Linked DNA regions of Cricetulus griseus. The protein of the gene in region 1 interacts with the protein of each later gene in a pairwise test. Links are inferred from orthologs where the notes say so. Each region holds a gene or a part of one and is shown in the gene's direction. Other genes may lie near its edges. The genes, in order: Eif4enif1, Efhc1 and Eif4e.

Region 1 (7,052 bases):
AAGCAGGGGTATCTCTGTGAGTTCAAGACCAGCCTACAGAACAAGTTCCAGGACAGCCAGGGCTACACATAGAAACCCTGTCTCGGGCTGGAGAGATGGCTCAGTGAATAAGAGCACTGGATGTTCTCCCAGAGGTCCTGAGTTCAATTCCCAGCAACCACATGGTGGCTCACAACCATCTGTAATCAGGACTGGTAACCTCTTCTGGTCTGCAGGGATACATGCAGACAGAACACTGTATAAATAAATAAATTTAAATTTAAAAAAGTCATTGAAAAAGAAACCCTGTTTCAGGGGGAAAAAGAAAGAAAAGCAACTATTGTTGATTCGCTACAATGTGTCTTTGTGGCTTTATTTTTTTTTTTCCCAGCTGGGGATGGTGGCAGGACACCTTTAATACCACCACTTGGGATAAGCAGGCAGATCTTTGTTAAATTTGAGGCCAGCCTGGTCTACAGAGTTCCAGGACAGTCAGGGCTGTTACAAAGAGAAACCCTATCTAGAAAAATTTTCCCAAAGAATCTTTATGCAGATTACCTAAGGCTTTCCCCCACTACTGGCATTTTTTTTTTTTTTTCTTTTCGTTTTTTCGAGACAGGGTTTCTCTGTGGCTTTAGAGGCTGTCCTGGAACTAGCTCTTGTGCACCAGACTGGTCTCGAACTCACAGAGATCCGCCTGCCTCTGCCTCCTGAGTGCTGGGACTAAAGGTGTGCACCACCACTGTCCAGCCACTGCCAAATTTAACCTTTACTACTTGCTATTACCGTCTGGCAAACCAAACTAAAGAGGAATACATTTCTAATTCTATACAGCCTATTATTTCAGTGCAAATATTCCTCTGTCTCTTGTCGCACACACTTGTTCTTCTAGAGGACCCAAAGTTCAGTTCCTGGCCTTGGGAGGCCAGCTAGGGTTACATAGCAAAACCCTGCCCCAAAAGATAGTTTGGAACAAAAATTCTATTAATCCTTACAAAGGGGGAAAATTACTTTTGTTGTCATGGCTCACAGAAAGAAAGCAAAGTAGTTTCCCAAGTAAAAAAAAAATGATGTTCAAATGCCATGTTGCCCACGCTGGCTTTGAACTCCCGGCCCCAAGCTCCGCAAAACAAAGATTACATGCATAGGCCAAAATGCTCAGCCTCGCTGTTCTTTAGAGGAAAAAGAACTAAAACAGAAACGATATCAACAAACAAACAAAACTAAGTCCCCCGCCACGCTAAAGAAACCTCAACCATGGGCAGTCCCACAGAGCAGAATCCGTTTAGCATTCTCCTGCATACCAGGCTCACAATTGACCAGCCCAGGGCCGCAGTTCTTGGATTATTTACTTATATGCGTATCTGTATCCTCTGCCATCTTGAGTTTCGGCACTCGGGTAAAGGCTACGAGCCCGAAGCCGGCCATCTAAATTTCCCCCAGATACTTAACTCTTCCCTGCCCGTGCAGGGTAACTCAAGATTCCGATTATTCACTGGAAGATACTTCAATTAACTCAATTTCCTTTACGTAGGATCAAATGTAACTGTGACAAACTTGCTTATTAATATACCAGCCCTTGTGGCTAATCCTCTGCATAGTAACTTTGGGGACAGTTTTTTTTTGGGGGGGGGAGCAAAAAAATCAGAGCGCTCAGAGCTTTACCCTTGAACACTGCAATAATAAACACAAGCAGAGCAGTGCTATGTTCTTTTAACTGACTCCTGCTGTCCCAGCCCCAGGTGAGGCCCAGTCTGGTGACCGCTAGCGACGGGACGACGAACATCCACCCAAGCCACCCGGCTCACGCCGGCGTGGCGCGGGTCTGGGGCAGCGCGCTTCTGGCTCCTCCCTTCCCGACGCGTGGGAACGCGGCGCCCTTCCTTGAGTTGCCCAAAGCGGCCGCCTGAGCGCTCGGGCACCGGCTCCCGCAACTCCCGTTGAGACTACTTCCCCGCAGCCACCGTGCCTGTCTGGCTATTATGCCCTCGCCGTCCGGCCCACGCAGAGCTCAGCGCGGCGGAGCGCACCGCCCAGTGCGGCTTTTCCGACAGGCACCGCCGCGGACACCTCAGGTCCTGCGGGCTGAGAGGGCGGCGCCTGGGCCCGCGGTGCGCGACGGGGGTTATTAGGGGGAGGGGGCGGAGAGCTGCGCCGGAGGGCCGGGCCGCGGTTACGGCGGCTGAGGAGAGCCAGCCCGAGAGGGTGGGGGGGGCGCAAGCACAGGCCGCAGGCAGCGGCGCCGGGCCTGGAGCGGGCGCGGTGGGACGCTGCGGCCAAAGCGTGTGGCCGCCCGACGGCGGGCGCTCAGCACAAGGGTACGGCAAGAGCGGGGCCCCGGCCTGCGGGCGAGGACGGCGCGCTGCCCCGGGAGCGCGGGCGGCAGGGCGCGCGCAGGGGGCGGCAGAGGCGCGAGGCGCGCGGGCGGCCGGCGAGCCAGCAGGCGGGCCTGCGCCGGCTGTAGGTGGCCGGCCTGTGGACTTGGTCCCTGCTCCCTCCGGCCCGCCTCCCTTCGTGAGTATCATCCCCGCCCTTCTTCCCGAGGAGGCCTCTGCCCGGGGGCCTGCGTGAGGGCCCGGGGGTTGGTTTATTAAGGAACAGAGTCTCCCACAGGAGGCCGGCACCGGCCCTTCCTTCGCCGCGGACGTCCCTCACATGGCCACAGGTGTGGCCGGCTGAGAGAGGTGCGCTCGGGCCGGTTCCCCTAGCTCCTTACGCTGGGGTTAATAAGGGGCAGCTGGTGCCATCCATTGACAAGTGACAGGCACTTCCAGCAGCCTGACTTCCCGGATCGACAGCCCAATCAGTCCTGTTCTTACTTTACACCGGGAAACTTCACCAGCACAGCCTGGTTGGTTCTCGTGGGTGGCAGCGACTATTTTGGTTTCTCTTTGTATTAAAGATAATTAAAGGTTGTATCCTGAGTTGAGCCCCTTACACTTCTGCTTTCCTTTCTCTGTGGAGGTTCTCTTTCCAATTTAGTTCTGGTTCCTACCATAATTTTTGGGTGGATTTCTTTACACAACTGTTTAGACTTTTACCCCTCAAAGTTTCAGTCTCATACGCAGCTAAGGCTTCTGAATATTTATTGTTTCCTTTGACAGTTTTGTGCTGACATTTATCTCCCCAGGTACAAAAAAATTGTACACCAAGAAGCCATGGAGAAGAGAGGTGTGGATGAAATAGAAAATGGAGATGCTTTCCTTGAGCTAAAGAAACTGCCCACCTCCAAATCCCCTCACCGCTATACAAAAGTAAGTTTTGTTATTAGTGAAGTAGTAATGTGTAGCTATCTCACTGGAGTTATTTAAAGTGGCACTCTTGGCTATGATTCACTAGAGACTAAATAAATTTAGTAAAGTATCAGTTTGGTCATTTTTCTGGAAGTGTGACTACTGGGTTTAAACTGTAGCTTTTGTTGTCGTTGTTGTTACAGATGGGATATGAACTCACAACTATTTCATTGCTTAAGAATACATAGTGATTTTAAGCTTCCTATTTTTGTTTTTGGAGACATGGCTTACCTATGGTACTCAATTCAGACTCTTGATTGTGAAGTTAGAGGTGCGCACTACTACATGTAGTTTGAAACTGGTCGTCTTGCTGTCATCCCTAGCTCAGGAACTACATCCAAGTTTTGTACTTAGTGAAGATATTGCATCTGTGTCATAATGGCTGCTGAGTGTTACTGAATAGATTAATAAGTTCCAGTGAACTATTTTGTTTGTTTCTGGCATTCTGAAATACTCTGGGCTAGAGTAAAATGTTCCTGAAGTGGAAAGCCTTGAAATGGCCAGTGAGAGGGATTATGCTGTAGTTGAGCCCATGTCCATATTTCCTTACTGTGATCACCATCATGAACCTCAGCATGATTGTGGTTTATTGTCCCTGGCCTCCTAGGATACTCAGTAAAGCTGGGCTTATTTGTGAACTGCCTTTACACTTCCCTAATTGGTAAAGTGTCAGGTAGTAATTTTCAGCGTTAACGAGAGAATGAATGAATGAATGAATGAATGGATTTAGTATGCCTGGGTGGGAATTTTTAAGTGTAATGTGAGTTCTTAATTGATTGTTTTCCTATTAGTCAGTTACAGACCAGACGCTTCTGCCTCCCTAGTGCCGGGATTAACATTTGTCGGAATGCTTTTGAACTATGGATTCAGATTGAAAAGTACTCCACAACTTAAACTCATTGCCTAAAATGTTGACAGGTGAATTCTGAACGTATCAGATGAAGGGAAGTGGCTTTGAAATACTTACAATCTTATGGGATTCCAAATTTCCTAGTTCTTGTTTGGCTTTTTTTAAGTAGTCTCTAATGTGGAAGACTGAAAAAATGGCATTTGTCAGGTAACTGAGATACATAGCTGCTCCCTGAGGTTTAGAGTGGCCTCTGCTATGCTTCCAAGTATAGGAATTCAAGCTAAAGTCACATGGTGTCTTTACACCAACATTTAAGCCTCTGTGACAGTTAACCGGGATATTATAAATGAGTTGATCATGTGCGCCTGTCATCCTCAGGGTCTTTTTTTGTTGTTGTTTTTGTTTTTGTTTTTCGAGACAGGGTTTCTCTGTAACTTTGGAGCCTATCCTGGCACTCGCTCTGGAGACCAGGCTGGTCTCGAACTCACAGAGATCCTCCTGCCTCAGCCTCCCTAGTACTGGGACTAAAGGCGTGTGCCACCAACACCCGGCCATCATGCTCAGGGTCTTAAGTCATTAATATTCATAATTTCTTATTTGTTTTGCTGTGTTCCCAAGAACAAAAGCTGCATTTTGCAGTCAATACAGAGGTACATGCCTTTAATCACAGCTTGCAGAGGCAGGTGGTTGTCTGTGAGTTCCAGGTCAGCCTGATCTTCAAAGTGAGTTACAAGCAGGGCATTGGTGGTGCACACCTTTAATCCCAGCACTCAGGAGGCAGAGGCAGGTGGATCTCTGTGAGTTTGAGACCAGCCTGGTCTACAAGAGCTAGTTCTAGGACAGCCTCCAAAGCCACAGAGAAACCCTGTCTTGAAAAACAAACAAACAAACAAACAAAAAAAAACAAAGTGAGTTACAGGACAGCCAGAGCTATGTAGTGAGACCCTGTCAAGGAAAGTAAGCCAGAGAAGAGTTCAGATTTAAATTTCAGGCAGAGCTGGGCAGCGGTGGCACACGCCTTTAGTCCCAGCACTTGGGAGGCAGAGGCAGGCGGATCTCTGTGAGTTTGAGACCAGCCGGTGTACAAGAGCTAGTTCCAGGACAGCCTCCAAAGCCACAGAGAAACCCTGTCACAAAAAATGAAAAAAACAAAACAAAACAAAAAAACAAAGCAAACAAAAAATTTTAGGCAGAAGTCAGGAATCAGATGATTTATTTCCTATACAAAAGTCATCTTTGCTAATTTTACATGTCTTCCATAAATTGAGTTGAGTAGAAACCTCTAACAGGTGGCATTTCAGTGGTGTATTTAAGCTAGCATAAAAATAAGGGTGCCTATTTTCAGGAAGGCAGAGTTAGGGTGTGAAAAAATCATTATCTGATCTTAATATGTCAGCTGTCCAGAATACATAGCTACCTGGAAGTTCTTAGCTGGTTGGCAAGACCATAAGTACTGAGTTTTGACTGTCATTATCTTCCTTTTCCATTTTAACTCGTCTTGAAAAGTTGGGACTCAGGTTCTTTGACCCCATGAGTGTTCTACTTGCCCAGCATGATAGGAACTTTAGCTAGATAAGAAGCTAGTCTTTGCACATAGAAATTTGAAGAACGGCTAAGCAGTGGTGGCCCATGCCTTGAATCCAAGCACTTGGGAGGCAGAAGCAGGCAGGTCTCTGAGTTCAAGGCCAGCCAGGGCTACACAGAGAAACCTGTCTCAAAACAGAAACCAAACCAAACAAAAAATTTTGTAGAAGGAACCTTTATTCAAGAAAGGGTGGTATATTAGGATGCTGGGCGTAAGGGCAACCTGCCTAAGAAGCTGAGAGTTTGGTTGAGAGTTCCTAGTAGTCCAGCTAGACTGGAACAAGTCTAATAATTAGTGCCACAGCTTCAGAAAGGGGTGATGCACCTTCTTCTTGTCAGTGCAAGCTTTGGGGACAAAAAGAGAGACTAAGGATTGTTAAGGTACCACTCATGGACTGGATTACTACTTTACCTTTAACCTGTGTGACCTTCAGTCTTACACTTAGCTTATCTCTTTCTTTTTTTCTTGTTCTTGTTTGTTTTTTGGTTTTTTTTGTTTTGTTTTGTTTTTCTTTTTGAGACAGGCTTTCTCTGTATAACCCTGGCTCTGGCTGTCCTGGAACTCCCTCCGTAGACAAGGGCTGACCTCAAACATAGAGATCCACCTGTCTACCTACAGAGATCTACCTGTCCCGTTTCCCAAATGCTGGGACTTTATTAAGGCATGCATCACCACACCTGGCCACTTAGCTTCTCTTAATCTCTCCTCTAAAGTAAAGATAGACTACAGCTGATCTTGCAGGAGCTTTTATGGTGAATAAATGGGAAAGTGAAGATCCAGTGCCTGCTACACAGCAGATGCTAAAAACTGGATGATGTATTAAACAGGCCTATCCAAGGATGAGAGTCCTTTTAGTGCCAACTTTAGAATCAAGGCAGGCTTTGTACATGGCATAGAGTAACCACCTTCTTTTACTGTTTTTTTTTGTTTGTTTGTTTGTTGCGTGGAGTCTGCTCAACCTAATGCCTACTAGGAATACCCTCTTACCTTAAACTGTACTGCCCACCTTCATCTCCATTCTAACACTGAAGCAGATAGCCCTAAAAGTGACTTTAGTGTTTTAGGTTTCCTTCTAGTATTTATCAACCTATTTACTGCTTGGGGTTTTACATTGTTCTTCTCAGTTATATCGACTATTTAAAAGGCAAGGCTTACTTTTATTGCATTGGCCAGGTGCATAGGGGAGAAAAATTTTCTTTTTTTTTTTTTTTTTTTTTTTTTTTTTTTTTGGTTTTTCGATACAGGGTTTCTCTGTGGCTTTGGAGGCTGTCCTGGAACTAGCTCTTGTAGACCAGGTTGGTCTGGAACTCACAGAGATCCGCCTGCCTCAGCCTCCCTAGTGCTG
Region 2 (6,982 bases), about 77 Mb from region 1:
AACTCCTAATAATGCCACTCCCTGTGTCTTAGTTAGGGTTTTTATTGCTGTGAAGAGACACCATGACCACAGCAGCTCTTATAAATGAAACCATTTAATTTGGGTGGCTTGCTTACAGTTTCAGAGGTTCAGTTCATTATCATCATGGCAAAGAGCATGGCGTTGTGCAGGTAGAAATGGTGCTGGAGAAGTAGCTGAGAGTCCTACATCTTGCAGGCAACAAGAAGTCGACTGAGACACTGGGTGGTATTCTGAGCATAGGAAACCTCAAAGTCTGTCCCCACAGTGACACACTTCTGCCAACAAGGTCTTGCCCACTCCAACAAAGCCACATTTCCTAATAGTGCCACCTCCCTATGAGATTATGGGAGCCTATTACATTCAAACTACCACAGTGTGTCTGTAAGAGTTTAAGCTTATCACAATAAGTCAGTTACCAGTGATGCTGGCTACCCAGCAGTAGTGAGGTACAGAGGAGTTTATTGTCATGACTAATTTCCCCAGTCACCATTCTAGTCAGTGTTTCAGGTACAGTGAAATGGCAGGTGCTTTTAAACTTTTCAGTAACTGCAGCAGTGCTAATCAGTTCATGGGGGGAGGTTAATTAAATACTGGGGGTGTTCTAGTGAAGCTAATGTACACAAGAAAAAAATGAGAAAGGATTTTTTAAGGGACAAGATCTAGGTATGATGGCACACACAACCCAGACTGTCCAAAGAGGAGGAGGAAAGGAGGAGGCTGGATATGGTGGTGGATGCCATTAACTCCAGCATTAGGAGGCAGAGTCAGAAACATCTCTGTGAGTCTAGTCTTCATAGGGAATTCTAGGTGGCCAGCAAGGAATATATAATGAAACCCTGCCTCAAAAAGAACAACAGCAACAACAAAAAAGGAAGACGCAGAGGAGAAGGATGAAGACAAGAGGCGACAGACAGGCAAGAACAAGAAACAGTAGTAAGGAGGAATGAAGAGGTACTAAAAATGATTTTTGGGGGGGTAGGTGTAATGTCACCAGTGACGGCTTTAGATGCCACTTACTACATTCTTATCCTGGCCCCTGGAGCTTCATGACAGTTAGTGAAACCCACAGGAAGATTTGCTGTGGTGAGCAGCCATAAAGGCAAAGCTGTTGTGATGGCTATTCTTGGTTGTCACCTTGACTACATCTGTAATTAACTAAAACCCAAGTGGCTGGGTACCCCTGTGAAGGATCTTTCTTAATAAGTCATTTGACGTGGGAAGACTCACTTCTAATCTGGATCTTTGAGGTAGGAAGATCCACCTTCAATCTGGGCTACACCTTCTGCTGGAGCCCTCTATAAAGGACATGGAAGAAGGCAGCTTGCTCTTTGCCTGCTGTTCTCACTCTCGATAGCAAGTCAATTCGTTCACTGGCATTAGCTCCGACTTAAAGGAATTCTGCCATGTACCGAAGACCAGCTGAGACATCCAGCCTCAAGAACTGAACAACTACTGAATTCTTGGACCTTCTGTTGGTAGACAGCCATTGTTAGACTAGCTGGGCCACAGCCTGTAAGTCATTCTAGTAAATCGAGTGTGTGTGGTGTGTGTGTGTGATTCATCCTATCAGTCCTGTTCTTCTAGAGAAGCCTAATACAGCTGCCGTCTGAACTGGTGGCAGCAAGTGACCCATGACGCAGCGTTATGTCTTCTCCCTCGGGCTTACTACTCTATTCTGTCTCTAAATTCATAGGTCAGAAACACATGTTTTGAAGATCAGACTCCTGGGAAATCTTGAAACATAATCCAAGCCCTTGGGCATCTTGGCTTCGTTTTTATTTTTAAGCTCTCAGTGCTGATGGGTTCTTGGTTTCTTTCTTTTCCTGATGATATTTCAGGAATGGGGGTCACTTTTTTTAAAAGAAAAAAAATATATTAAGTTGTCCAGAAAGCGCCATACTCGGCAGTATTTCACTGGTCTTGTTTCTTTCTCGTGACTCGGCCTCTCTTTTTGAAGGTGTTCTCTTCTTCTGTGGTTGTAATTACTGCGTCTGTAGATACAAAGCAGGGACTGAGATGGGCAGATCCTATTCTGCAATCAACAGTTACACAGTACAGCTCTGAGCCTTCAGGAGCCAATGGTGAAATAGCAGAAAGGGGACCAGGAAGCTGGGGAGGGATTGGGGAAGTGCATGGCGGTGGGGGGTGGGGATGTTGTGTTCTAAATCATGCCTGAGCAACAGAAACGCAGTCAGTAATAATCTAACCCACCACCCCGGTCCCAAGAAGTATGAGTTTGAAGCAATTAGCACTTTCACCGGAGAGCAATCATTCACACTGTGTGAACTGGGACAGCAGCTCTTTTCCCAGAGATGGGAAAGAGTTCCTGAGCTCTTGGGAGGACTAACGCAGAGAGAGAAGGCACTTCTCCTCTGTAACTCATCTAAAAGGACGTACTCCAATCCCCAGACCTCACTGCACGAGCCAAAGCCTGAGGACACCAACCTCCTTCAGCCTTTCATAGAAACTGCTTCTGGGTTGCATCCTCTGGGAGCCATCTAGGGGGCTGAGGAGGAAGGGAAGGGGAAGGGAAGGAAGGGGCGGAGCCGCCTCTGACACACCCATTAGCCACATCCAGTGGCCCGGAGCCTCAGGGGTTCTATGCGCACGCGCAGACCTGTCCTCGGTTCCCCCCTCCTCCCGGCTTCCTCCTCCCTCCGTTGGTGTTTGGCGTTACCATGGAGTCTGGAGAGGCCCGCGGATGTTGTTTGTTGCCAGGGTAACCCGAAAGGCAGAAGGCAACGGTGGTGGCGGCTGCACAGCTGCGATGGTGACCAACCCGGTGCCCGGCCTGCCCTTTCTCCCGGGCTCGTCCTTTACGGACACCACGGTGAGGACCAGTCGGAAGGGTTCTCTACTCGGCGCCTCTGCTCTCCTCCATCCCACAGGTTCTACCGCCCTGTCCACACACCACCTGGGTCCTCACTGCTGTCGGGTTCTTACTTTCCTGCCCCACCTACCTGCCTTCTGGCCCCATTACTCCAGGTCATCTCCACGCCTCTCCCCAGATGCATTCTTACTCTACTCAACCCTCTCTGCCTTCATCCCCCCGTACCTCATTGCGTGTGTACAACCCCCCCCCACACACACACACCCAGCAACTTCGTTTAAGACCCCTTCCGAATCCTCAAGATCGCTGCCTTTCAGCCCCCTTTCCCGTGTATATGTATACACGCATCCTTTCCAAGCACTCCTTTCCTGACCGGTCTCCCCGTCCCGCCCTACCCGGAGTCTCTGGGCTTCTGAGTTGAGGGTCACTTTTCTCTCCAGCGTCATTGTACTTTAGAATTGAATCCCTCCCCCAGCTCATCTTGGTTTTCTTGAAGTTTCTTTTTAAAGCGTGCCTACCTTTTCCCCTCTCTGCTTTGTATTTCTCCCATCTCACTTACCTCAACCACATGGACCACTTGGTGTTTTCTCCTTCCATAGTCTGTGTTTTACATTCTTAACGTGTGTGTGTGTGTGTGTGTGTGTGTGTGTGTGTGTGTGTGTGATTCCTTTTCAGGCTGTGCACGTTGGTGGGGAGGTTTGTTTGTTGTATCTTGTGTGCAGACTGGCCTTGAACTTGAAAACCACCTACCTCAGCCTCCTGAAATGCTCAGGCATGCCAACACAAAGGACCCCTCTTCAGATTGTATTTTACCTGCCCTCCCCCGATGTTTTTATTTACTGTCTGGATGAAATTAAATTAAAACAAGTCCAGTGTGGTGGTGCACATCCTTGATCACAGCTTTCAGGGCGCTAAGGCATAAGGATGGCCAATTTAAGCCTAGCCTGGACCACATAGCCAGTGCCTGTCTCCAAACAGCAACAAATCCAAACCAGACAGAACAAGAACAGCATGGAAAGAAAGCATAAACGAGGCTGGGAAGGTGGCTTAGTGGACAAAGCGCTTGCTGCTCACATGAGAGGAGTGGAATTCAGATCTCTAGAACCCATGCAAGATGGGTTTTACCTGACTAGACTGGCCTTTATCTGATGCAGCCTCCCCATGTCAGCTTCCATCTTTCACATGTAAGGTCACATACATGCACCCAGGCATGTGCACACCACACACACACACACACACACACACAGAGAGAGAGAGAGAGAGAGAGAGAGAGAGAGAGAGAGAGAGAGAGAGAAATCAACCACACCACCACCAACAAAATAAAAATGCCTCGGATCAAAGCCCATTTCAGCAGTAGTTTGGTTCTTGGTTTCCTCTTGACATAGTTTAACTATTTATATTCTCATTTATTTTGAGACAGGGTCTCATGTAACCCAGGTTGGCTTCAAATTTACTATATAGCTTGGGGTGATCGAACTTATCCTCTGGGCTCCCGAGTGTTAGGATTACAGTCAGGTCACCAAAGCCAGAGCTTTGTGAGTTACAGGCAAACAGGATACCAACTGAGCTGTACCCACTGTACATCTCTTAAATGCTCCCAGCATTTGTTTTAATTCTAACAGAGTTACAAAAATATTCTGGAGAATCAACATTGAGATTCGGTAGAGTGGTGTATGTAGATGAGCCAATAGTAATTCATATTTGTATAGTTTAATAATTCAGACTCATCAATTTCACACTTCTTAAGGGAAATTATTTAGTCTACTTGTTTTCTAGGGGACATCGATTTCCATTTCAGTGGAAAGTGTGGGGAGAATTTGGATTCTGACTCTCTTCTACTCTTGCATTAAGATATAACATGGTCACGTTTTTAAAGATGCAAGCTCCCTACGTGTGTTTCTCTGTTGTTGTTTGTTTGAGACACAGTCTCTCTCCTTTGTAGCCAGGCTGGCCTGAAGTTCACTATATAACCTAAGCTGCCCTCAAACCCTGGATAATCTCCAGCCACAGTTTCTCAAGTGCTGGAATTAAAAGTGTGAGTCACTGTGCCTGGCCAGCACCACAGATTTGCCATTTCAATGAGCCTTTTAAATTTCATATAATTTAAAACTATTTGACGTTTTCCTATGCTGTACAGAATCAGCTGAAACATTCGGTGTCTGTGAGTGGGGTTACCCACAAGATAGAGTTGAATTAATTTGGGAGATTATAGAGCTGTGGCTAGAATTGCCAGACTTTAAATATTTATATGAAAAGATGAACTGCCTTGGACCAGTAGGTCCATATGAAATATACCGAGTGACTGTCAATTAATTATCCTTACTTGAAACTTGAAAACCTTCTTAACTGCATCTTCATCAATGAAGGAATATTGGAACTCCAAAGAAAAATGTGTCCAGAAGGTGAACCCTAATAAGTAAGAAGCGGGGAGGCCTAAGAATGCCTTGCCTGGGGTGTCCCATGATACAGTTGACTGGTGAGAGAGACATCCACTAACCACAAAGAAAATAAACTGAAGTTATTGATGTTTTATTTCATAATTTTGGGGAGAGGGGTTGCTGTTGAGCATGTGTAGAGATCATAAGATGATGTCTGGGAATTTTCTCCTTCTACCATATGGGTTCCAAGGATCTAATTTAGGTGGCCAGTCGTGGTGATTAGTAACCCTTTCCTGCCAAGATTCCCCCGAGCCCTCCTCCCTACTTCTGAAGGTGCTGGGAATTGAACCTAGGTCTTTGAACATGCTAAGTACACCATCACCAAGCTATACTCTCAGCCTCTAATAATATTGCCTCTGTCTTGAGGGCTTCCAAAGAGGAACTTGGAGCTATGCACATTGCCCAGTACATCTTATTCTATGTCTGTGTGTTAGGCATCTGGTACAGCCTCTGTCACCTGACTTGGACTAGAATACATGACCCTTAAAGAAAGGTCTGTGCTCCATAACTCTTTTAGCAGAAATCCATACTGCTGTTGCTTTGATGGTAAGATAGACCTTGAAAGATGGTAGGCTGGACTCCAAAGAATTGGGAGATAGGCAAGTAAATCTTTTTACTCTTAATAAACATAAAATTTGATTATATTATATATGCATATATGCATAATAAATAAATATACTACATATATACAATTAGAAAATAACCCTTCAAAGAACATAAAACCCACTAAATTAATATAACTTCAATTTCATTCTTCCCCTGTATTTAATGTTTTACATTTCCAATGATAACAAATGTATATTCACGGCAGAGAATGAACATAATCCAGAAGTACAGAATACAGAATGTTCACCAAATCCAGTTTGAATGCTTATAATTGTAGTGTATTTATATAATTTTACATGGTGCCCTTTTTGTTTTAATAAATTGTAAATACTTCACCAGACTTCTGCGTAGTATTTAAAACTATTTTAATTCTTGCATAGTAATCCAATGAGTGAAATTTCCATCATTTCCTTTCTTTTTTATATTTGTCCTTTAGGTTGTTTACAACATGTAAGCATCATATTTACACTCATATATTTGTCACTATTATGATTAGCTTCAAGTCTATCTTTCTTTCCCATAATTTTGGGGCTGTATCTTTAAGAAAAGGGCAGGATTACTGGATGTTTACATATATGCTGGCATTGTGCTTTCCAAAGACTTGTATAAATGTGTCAGTGTCAATAAGAAGGGCTGTTGCTGAAGGGAAAATTACAATTCAGAAAACCAGATCTTCTGAGGCTATTGTTCATGACCACCAAGAGAAGAAGAAGAAATACAAGATCCATGAAAATAAATTGTAGATGAAGTGGTGTGGTAGAGATAGGTAAGCCCGACATCACAGAGCAGAGCTGTTTTATTTTCACCTTAGGTGGCTTCTACTTCCCTCCTTGCTCCTGACCAAGTCTTTTGGTTTAAAATACCCCTTTTTGGGGGGAGGGCAGAATGGGGGACAGAGAAGTTGGGAGGAGAGGAAGGAGAGAAAACTGCGGCCCAGATATAAAATTAATTAATTAATTATTAAAAGTATCCTTTTAATGCAGTGAAAAGTTTTGGCGTACACTTTGTGATGCTGAAAAGCAAACATTTGGAGCTTGAAAGGTGGCTCAGCATTTAAGAGCAAGAACTGTTCTTGCAGAGGACCTGG
Region 3 (7,280 bases), on another chromosome or scaffold:
CGCTCAGGGACTCCCCGCGGGGCGGCGTTCCCGGCGCGCACGCCGCCGCCGGCCGTGCCCGGCCCCCGTCCCCCCGGCCTGACCTTCCGCGGGCAGCCCGGGCGCCGGGAGGCTGGCGGCGGCAGCGTGGAGCGCACACGCCGTGCGGGGGGCCCGGGCACCGGGGCGGTGGGGGAGGGGCGCCGCGCGGCCCGAGCTGCGGCCGGCGGAGGGCGGCTCGGGGGGCGGGCGGGCGGCTCGGGCGGGCGGGCGGGCGGCGCGGGTCCGGGGCCGCGGGGCGGGCTCGGAGCGGGCACGGTGCTCGGAGGGGTGGGCGGGCGGGCGGTGAACCGGCCCGGAGCAGCCCGAGGGAGCCTGGGGCAGCTGCGCCTCCCCCGCCGCCGGGATCCTCGTGCGGGCCGCGCTCGCACGAGCCGCGGGGAGGAGGAGGAGGGAGGAGGAGGGGTGGGTTGGCGGAGCCGGTGGGCGCGCGGAGCCGGGCGGGCGGGAGCGAGAGAGGGGCGGGCGCGGCGGAGGGAGAGCCGCCGAGCTGCGGGGTGCAGTGGGGAGGACGCCCTGGGGCCGCGCCGCGCACCTCTCGGGGCCGGGGGAGGGGGCCGGCCGAGGTGACCACATTGTCCCGGCCCCTCCACACCGGGACTGGGCTGTCATGGAGGAGAGGAGGGGGAGGAGCGAGGCCTGCAGATCGCCGCCGCCGCCGCCGCCGCGGGTCGGCCACCCGGCCGGAGACCTGCGATTCACACGCGCCGGGCCGGGCTTCCATTCATTCATCTCTCTGGGCGCAGCGCGCACGCCTCCGACCCTACGACTCTGTAGATTCTTCTGCTCTGAGGCGACGTGACCGTCTGGAAGATCCCCAACGAACACACTAATATTGGAAATAGAAACTTTCGAGATTGTCTTTCCTTAAATTAAAACAAAACAAAAAACAAGCACGAGGGCAGCAGCGCGTGTCTGGCTCGCATGTGGAAGTCGGAGGACAGCGTTTGGAGTCCGGCCTCTCAGTACTGCTTTAACGTTTGATTTTTTTTTTTTTTTCCCTCCTTCCCACCCTACACTGCTTTCCTCTTCATTAAAGCACTATTCCGAAATTGATTGAAGCAAGATGCTCACCGAGCAACGTGTTGGTAGCTACCCCGAAGGCAGAAGAGTGGTTTTTTATGTTTTTTTTTTTTTTTTTGGTCATGCTTTGGGTTTACCAACAGCTGGGTCACTGGCCATGCATCCCAGATTATTTTTTTAAGAAATGTCACACCTGTGTGATTAAGATCTCAGGTGGTTAAAGGTGTAGACTAGCAACCAGAAGAAACCTTTGACACAGGAACGCTTGTAGACTACCTTGGCCAGATATTTTTAAAATTTTAAAAACTCACCTATGGACTGAAGAATTTTGATTAGTTTGCAAAACAAACTTATCTTGGCAGAATTCAAGGCAACTTTTTTTTTCTTTTTGGCGTGATTTACTTGTTCTTTATTGGCATCAGTTTTCCTGGCAATTTGGTTGTCTGCAAAACTGCCTCATAAGTTGTTAGTGAAGTTAACTGACTTTAGAATATCAGTATTATGTAAGAACAAGAGGGAAGCATTTAAATTTAACGTAAACTCTCTTGACAAGTTCTGGTATCTACTTCTGAGTCTTATACTTTTCTCTACCAGTATTAGGGGAAAATAGTATGGGCAGTAATAGAGGCAAAACTGAAAAAGACCCTAAGCAATAAAACAGTAATATGTTCTATGATATTTCAGTTACATTCAAGTCTTGGATTGTGTTAAAACCACAACTTAGTGTCTTTAGAGTTTGTTCTAAGTCAGTTCTGAGTTGTTGATATGTTTAAGGTGGGGTACCAAGTGAGGTTTAGAATACAGAGTTGTACAAAATGTGGTCTGTACTTGTTCCTTAGGAGCCTGGTTTGGGTCAGAGTTGAAATATTCCTAGTGATAACTCTGTTGTGAAAGTTGCATTGAAGCTAGTTGGAGATAGTGTGCAGAGTGGCATTGAGGTACTTGTTTTTCTTTTTGTAACACCCCTGCCTTTAGACTACTCATGGTATTTTTAATATTTTTGAGATTTGCTTTTGGAGCCCAGCCTTGGTGGTGCATGCCTTTAATCCCAGCACTTTGGAAGCAGAGGCAGGTGGATTTTGAGTTCCAGGACAGCCAGGGCTACACAGAGAAACCCTCTCCTGAAAAACAAAGCAAATAAACAACAACAACAGATTTGGTTTTGGTGCTTGATTTTCAGCTCAGAGCCTGGTGTACACTAAGTTCATTCTGCTACTAAACTACGCTGGTGCTTCTTCAGTTTCAGATCTTTTTATTTTTTTTAAAGCAGCTGTTATATTTTACTATTGGACTGCAGTTGAGGAACTGTGTTAAAGCTTGTAAAAGTCTTACTTGGTTATTGCTGTGTGTGTTTCTTTAGTTTTTTTTTTTTTTGTAGTGTGTTGAATTGTAAGCACCTGGAGCAGTGTGGTTCTCAGCTTGTAGTCCTGACCCCTTTTGGGGGATTAACAACCCTTTCAACAGGGGTCAGCTAAGAACATCTGAAAACACAGGTATTTACATTTCTACTCATAAAAGCAAAATCACAATTATGAAGTAGCATCAAAAGTAATGTTATGGTTGGGGTCACCACAGCATGAGGAACTGTATTAAAGGGTTGCAGGATTAGGAAAGTTGAGAGCAACTTACTTAGTCATGAGTAGGTGATACTTCTCTCCTTACATATCCAACCTTTTATAAGTATTTGTCAGTATTTCCAGTAATCTATGGAAAATCCATAAATGATCATTTTCTTTTTTGTTTGTTTTTCTAGACAGGGTTTCTCTGTGTAGCTTTGGTTCCTATCCTGGCAATCACTCTGGAGACCAGGCTGGCCTCGAACTCACAGAGATCCACCTGCCTCTGCCTTCCGAGTGCTGGGATTAAAGGTGTTCGTCACCAACGCCCCTCGAATGATCAGTCATTTTCAATCAGTGTTTGAGGTTAGTTATGCAAGTAATGGCTTACAGATAGAGATTGAGACGTTCAAAGGGGAAATATATTGCTTTACAGAACCTGTGGAAAATGGTTGCTCCTCTTAGTTTGGAATTGAGGAAAGTCAAAATTAGACTTAGTGAAAATGGTAGACCATGTCCTTGATGGTATTCTATGGGTTCTTCCTTTTAGATAGCTTACTTTTCTTCTGCTGTTTTTCCTGTTATTTAAAAAATGTGTTTTTTTGTGTGTCTGTGTGTAGGTCTGGAACTTGTGTCTGTCTGTCTGTCTGTCTGTCTGTCTGTCTGTCTGTCTTGGAACTCCATAGATCAAAGCTGGGAGTTCTGCCTTTTTAGCATTGGGATATATACAGGTGCACAACATCACACCTAGTCCAGATATTTCCTCTCTTTATACTTAGCCTTGCTTTTAAAATAAGACTGGCAAACATGGAGAAGCCAGCTGTGGTGGTGCATGCCTGTAACCTGAGGACTCACTCAGAAGTGGAGGCAAGAGAACTGTGAATTGGAGCACAGCCTGGCCTACATGTCATACCTTGTCTTAAAGCAAAATAAAGTCTAAGAGAAAAGGTCCACTGAGATAGATAGCTTAGGGGCAAGGGTGTTTGCTGCCAAACTTGAGGGTCTGAGTTGGAGACTAGAACCCTCAGGTTGCAAACAGGACCTCTTGCAAATTGTCCTCTGATCTCCAAGTCCACACCAAGGCAAGTGCACACACATAGAGAAATAAATAAGTAAATATATGTGTGAAAAGCTTAAAAAAAAAACAAGGAAAAGCACTAAAAGTTATAAAATGTATCAACCGAAAAGCTGTTTATTGGTAAGCAGATTGACAATTTTTTTTTTTAATTGAGAACTCATTTTTTGTAATTTATTTATTTATATTTTGTGTGCATTGGTATTTTGCCTGTATGTATGTCTGTGTGGGAGGGTATCAGATCCCTGGAACAGGAGTTAGACAGTTGTGAGCTGCCATATGGGTGTTGGGAATTGAACTCAGGTCCTCTGGAAGAACATCCAGTGTTTTTAACCACTGAGCTGTCTCTCTAGCCCTAAAAGTTAAATCCATGCTTCATTTCATTTTATTCATTTAATGTGCATTGATTGGTGTTTTGCCTGTGTAAGGGTGTCAGGTCCCCTGGACCTGGAATTACAGACAGTTGTGAGTTGCCGTGTGGGAAATTGAACCGTTTCCTCTGGAATAGCAGCCAGTGCTCTTAACCACTGAACCATTTCTCCAGCAGGAACTCATTTTATTAGTAACTTTGTTTAGTTATTTCACATTTCACTTCACTTTATACTCTGAATCTGTGTGATTGTTTGACTTAGAAAAACGAAATGTGGATATACACTTTATGCATCATAGTTACATAGAATCAATTAAAATTTTTCAGATTGGCTTAATCCAGATTGAACAGAAAGTCCTGAGCAATAGCACTTTCATGACACACTTAATTTCTAAGACTGTGGCTCACAACTGGGGGGTGAAAACCCTTTCACAGGGGTTGCCTAAGACCACCAGAAACATATTTATGTTGTAATTCCTAGAGTAGTAGAATAACAGTTATGAAGTAGAAACAACAATAACTTCATGGCTGGGGGTCACCACAGCTTGAACTGTATTGGTGGGTCACAGCATTGGAAGGTTGAAAAACCACTGTTCTAGAAGGCTAAAACTATAAAGGTCAGTAGAAGTACCAGCAGCCCTCTTATAATAGGAGACATGTGCAATAGTTATCGTGTCAATAGTCATTGCTCCTTTTCCTTCCCTGCCACACTGGAGACTCGATTCTGTTACATTATGAGTTGTGCGGTCTTTCTCAGGGAGATGACTGAGGAGTGGGATTAAGCATGGCTTATACAGTCTTGTTTAAATTTTCCTGGGAGTGGGGAACATTGAAATTTCTTAGTCCGGGTAAAAATGGGAATCAAATAGCTTAATTTTACCCTGATTTTTAAATGGAGTATTGGAGATGATATGTGTCACTTGTGTGGATCTAATGTTTGTACTCAATCAAGGTTCGGCACCTCTCTGCATGCGCACATCTTGTGCTGGAAAATTCTTGTCAGTCCTTGGCCATTATTAGCAAGCAATGTGAAATCTATGATCACAGCTCAGGTATTGTCGACTTTCCTGTTTTTACCAGAGTCTAGTCACATCTAGAGAAGAAAGGATTGCTTTTCATCTAAAAAAAAAAAAAAAGGTCATTTTTTTTTGTCTTACAGTCAGAAACAAGTAGTTGTCTCTGAATGTGTGTTCCTCTTTGTATATTGTAATTTTAAAAATACATTATTCCATGGAAATTGATGGGAGGCTTAGGTGGACTACAAGCCTGACTAGTATTTCCAGGAATGTGGATTTAGTGTTCTAAGCAAGTAATTTTTTAAAAAATGACCTTTCAGTCACCGCCTGTTTGTAACAACTGTTTGCTTTTGTAGCGACTATTTTTAATAGAGGCAGATCTTTATTAATTGCTAACTTAGTGTGTTGGGCCTCAGAGTAAGTATTTTATATATATTCATTTATTGCTTGCAGCAGTTCTGTTAGATGAGTGGAGTTATTCTTAATTCACAGATGAGGAAACCTTTAAGGCAGCCGAGTTCTGGCTGTGCTTGTAAGCATCACACTGCTATCTGCTGGGCATGGAGGGTAACTTGAGAAAGGGAGCTTAGTGTTGATAAGCTTTCTAGGGCTTTGTTTCAGCTCTAAGATTTGTGCAGACAGACTTTAAGACGATGCTTACACACGTGACCATGTTGAATTAAAGCATAGACTTTTAATAGCTTGCAGATAGCTTATGCCTCATAGGCAGTGGTGTATTTGCATGGTACTTAATACACCCTGCTATGAACTTGGGATAATGTATCTAGCAGAACACAAATACCACAACAAGATCCATACTGGGTTGTTTAGGGAATGAAAAAATTGTGTCATTTTTAGAATAGGAGCTGCTTCTTACCTTGAATATCTTTTGTTGAGTTTGTTGATAACAAACCCACAAATACAGAAAGCTCATTGTGTAATAGTCATTTGTTTTAGTACTTGGTCTAGAACTTTGTAGGTAGATTTCAAAAGACATCAAGTGATCACTTCCCTTCTCCTGACTTCTTTTTTGCCACTTAGGATATTTTGCTAGTGGAAAGTTTCAGTGAATTTAAAAAAATATTGCTGGGCAATGGTGGAGTGTGCTTTTTAATCTCAGGACTTGGGAGGCAGAGGAGAGAGGCCGGCGGATCTCTGTGAGTTCAAGGTCAGCGTGGTCTGCAGAGTGAGTTCTAGGGCAGCCAGGGCTAAACTGAGAGACCCTATCTCAAACAAAAGTAAATAAATAAAATAAAAATTGAATTAATGTGAAACATTAAATACATTGACTGTAATTGGCTAAGTCCTGTCTTTTGCTATCATTTTTTTATTTTATTACTTACATATGTGTCTGTATGTCATGTGTATGTGGGTGCCTGTGGGTGTTGGGTTCTGCTATGGGAATTTATTCTGCCAGTACCTTTGGGGTACCAGCCTTAGGGAATGGCTTCTTGTCTTCAGACATGAGAGAGGCAGAGGTCTCATATTCTCTTGGGTCGTGAATACTGGGTCAGGTGGCTTGAGGCAGCATGTGGCCGGTTCCCAGCTTCCTTGCGCAGAGCAGAGAGATTTTGCAACTGGTTATACCTTGTCCAGTACCCATGAGTCCTTTTCCCCATAACATCCTTTAATATATATGCAAATATATCTATCTTTGTGGTCCTCATAACAGGATTGTCTGGAATTGGAGTTACAGGTGGTTGTGAAGCACCATGTGGGTGCTGAAAATTGAACCTGGATCCTCTACAAGAGCAACAAGTACTCTTAACCACTAAGACAACACACACACACACACACACACACACACACACACACACACACACACACACACACACACACACACACACACACACACACACACACACACACCACCTTTTTGAGACAAGGTTTCACTGTATCTCTGACTGGCCCAGAACTCAGAGATCCACATGCTTTTGCCTCTTCAGTGCTGAGATTAAAGGTGTGCACCACTGTGCCTGGCTTTGCTTTTACTGTTGTAAAAAAGAACTGTTGCCTATTCCCCCAGATTCAGTATAAATATTACTTTTTGTCTTGTTTTCTAGTAATATTTATTACGTTTACTCAGTGAGGGGACATGTGCTAACGGGGGTCATGTTGAGGTCAGAGGACAGAGGTGGGAAGTGTCTCTACCATGTGGGTTATATGTGTTTTGTATTTGGTTTAATTTTGAAAGTACAAAG

Evidence for each region.
Region 2: the proteins of Eif4enif1 (region 1) and Efhc1 interact in binary tests that used the Homo sapiens proteins (3 or more experiments, as listed by UniProt). The two-hybrid records come from large-scale screens. The link is inferred for Cricetulus griseus from reciprocal best matches to the Homo sapiens genes EIF4ENIF1 and EFHC1.
Region 3: the proteins of Eif4enif1 (region 1) and Eif4e interact in binary tests that used the Homo sapiens proteins (3 or more experiments, as listed by UniProt). The link is inferred for Cricetulus griseus from reciprocal best matches to the Homo sapiens genes EIF4ENIF1 and EIF4E.

The regions. Positions count from the first base shown.
Region 1 is NW_023276807.1:101,714,589-101,721,640, reverse strand, and holds the start of Eif4enif1 (eukaryotic translation initiation factor 4E transporter), read left to right. Parts: upstream 1-2,172; 5' UTR 2,173-2,297; intron 2,298-2,343; exon of another isoform or gene 2,344-2,493; intron 2,494-3,109; 5' UTR 3,110-3,137; coding exon 3,138-3,233; intron 3,234-7,052. UniProt on the Homo sapiens protein: EIF4E-binding protein that regulates translation and stability of mRNAs in processing bodies (P-bodies). Plays a key role in P-bodies to coordinate the storage of translationally inactive mRNAs in the cytoplasm and prevent their degradation.
Region 2 is NW_023276807.1:25,023,245-25,030,226, reverse strand, and holds the start of Efhc1 (EF-hand domain-containing protein 1), read left to right. Parts: upstream 1-2,705; 5' UTR 2,706-2,722; coding exon 2,723-2,851; intron 2,852-6,982. UniProt on the Homo sapiens protein: Microtubule inner protein (MIP) part of the dynein-decorated doublet microtubules (DMTs) in cilia axoneme, which is required for motile cilia beating.
Region 3 is NW_023276806.1:21,044,601-21,051,880, reverse strand, and holds the start of Eif4e (eukaryotic translation initiation factor 4E), read left to right. Parts: upstream 1-2,939; 5' UTR 2,940-2,954; coding exon 2,955-2,984; intron 2,985-7,280. UniProt on the Homo sapiens protein: Acts in the cytoplasm to initiate and regulate protein synthesis and is required in the nucleus for export of a subset of mRNAs from the nucleus to the cytoplasm which promotes processes such as RNA capping, processing and splicing.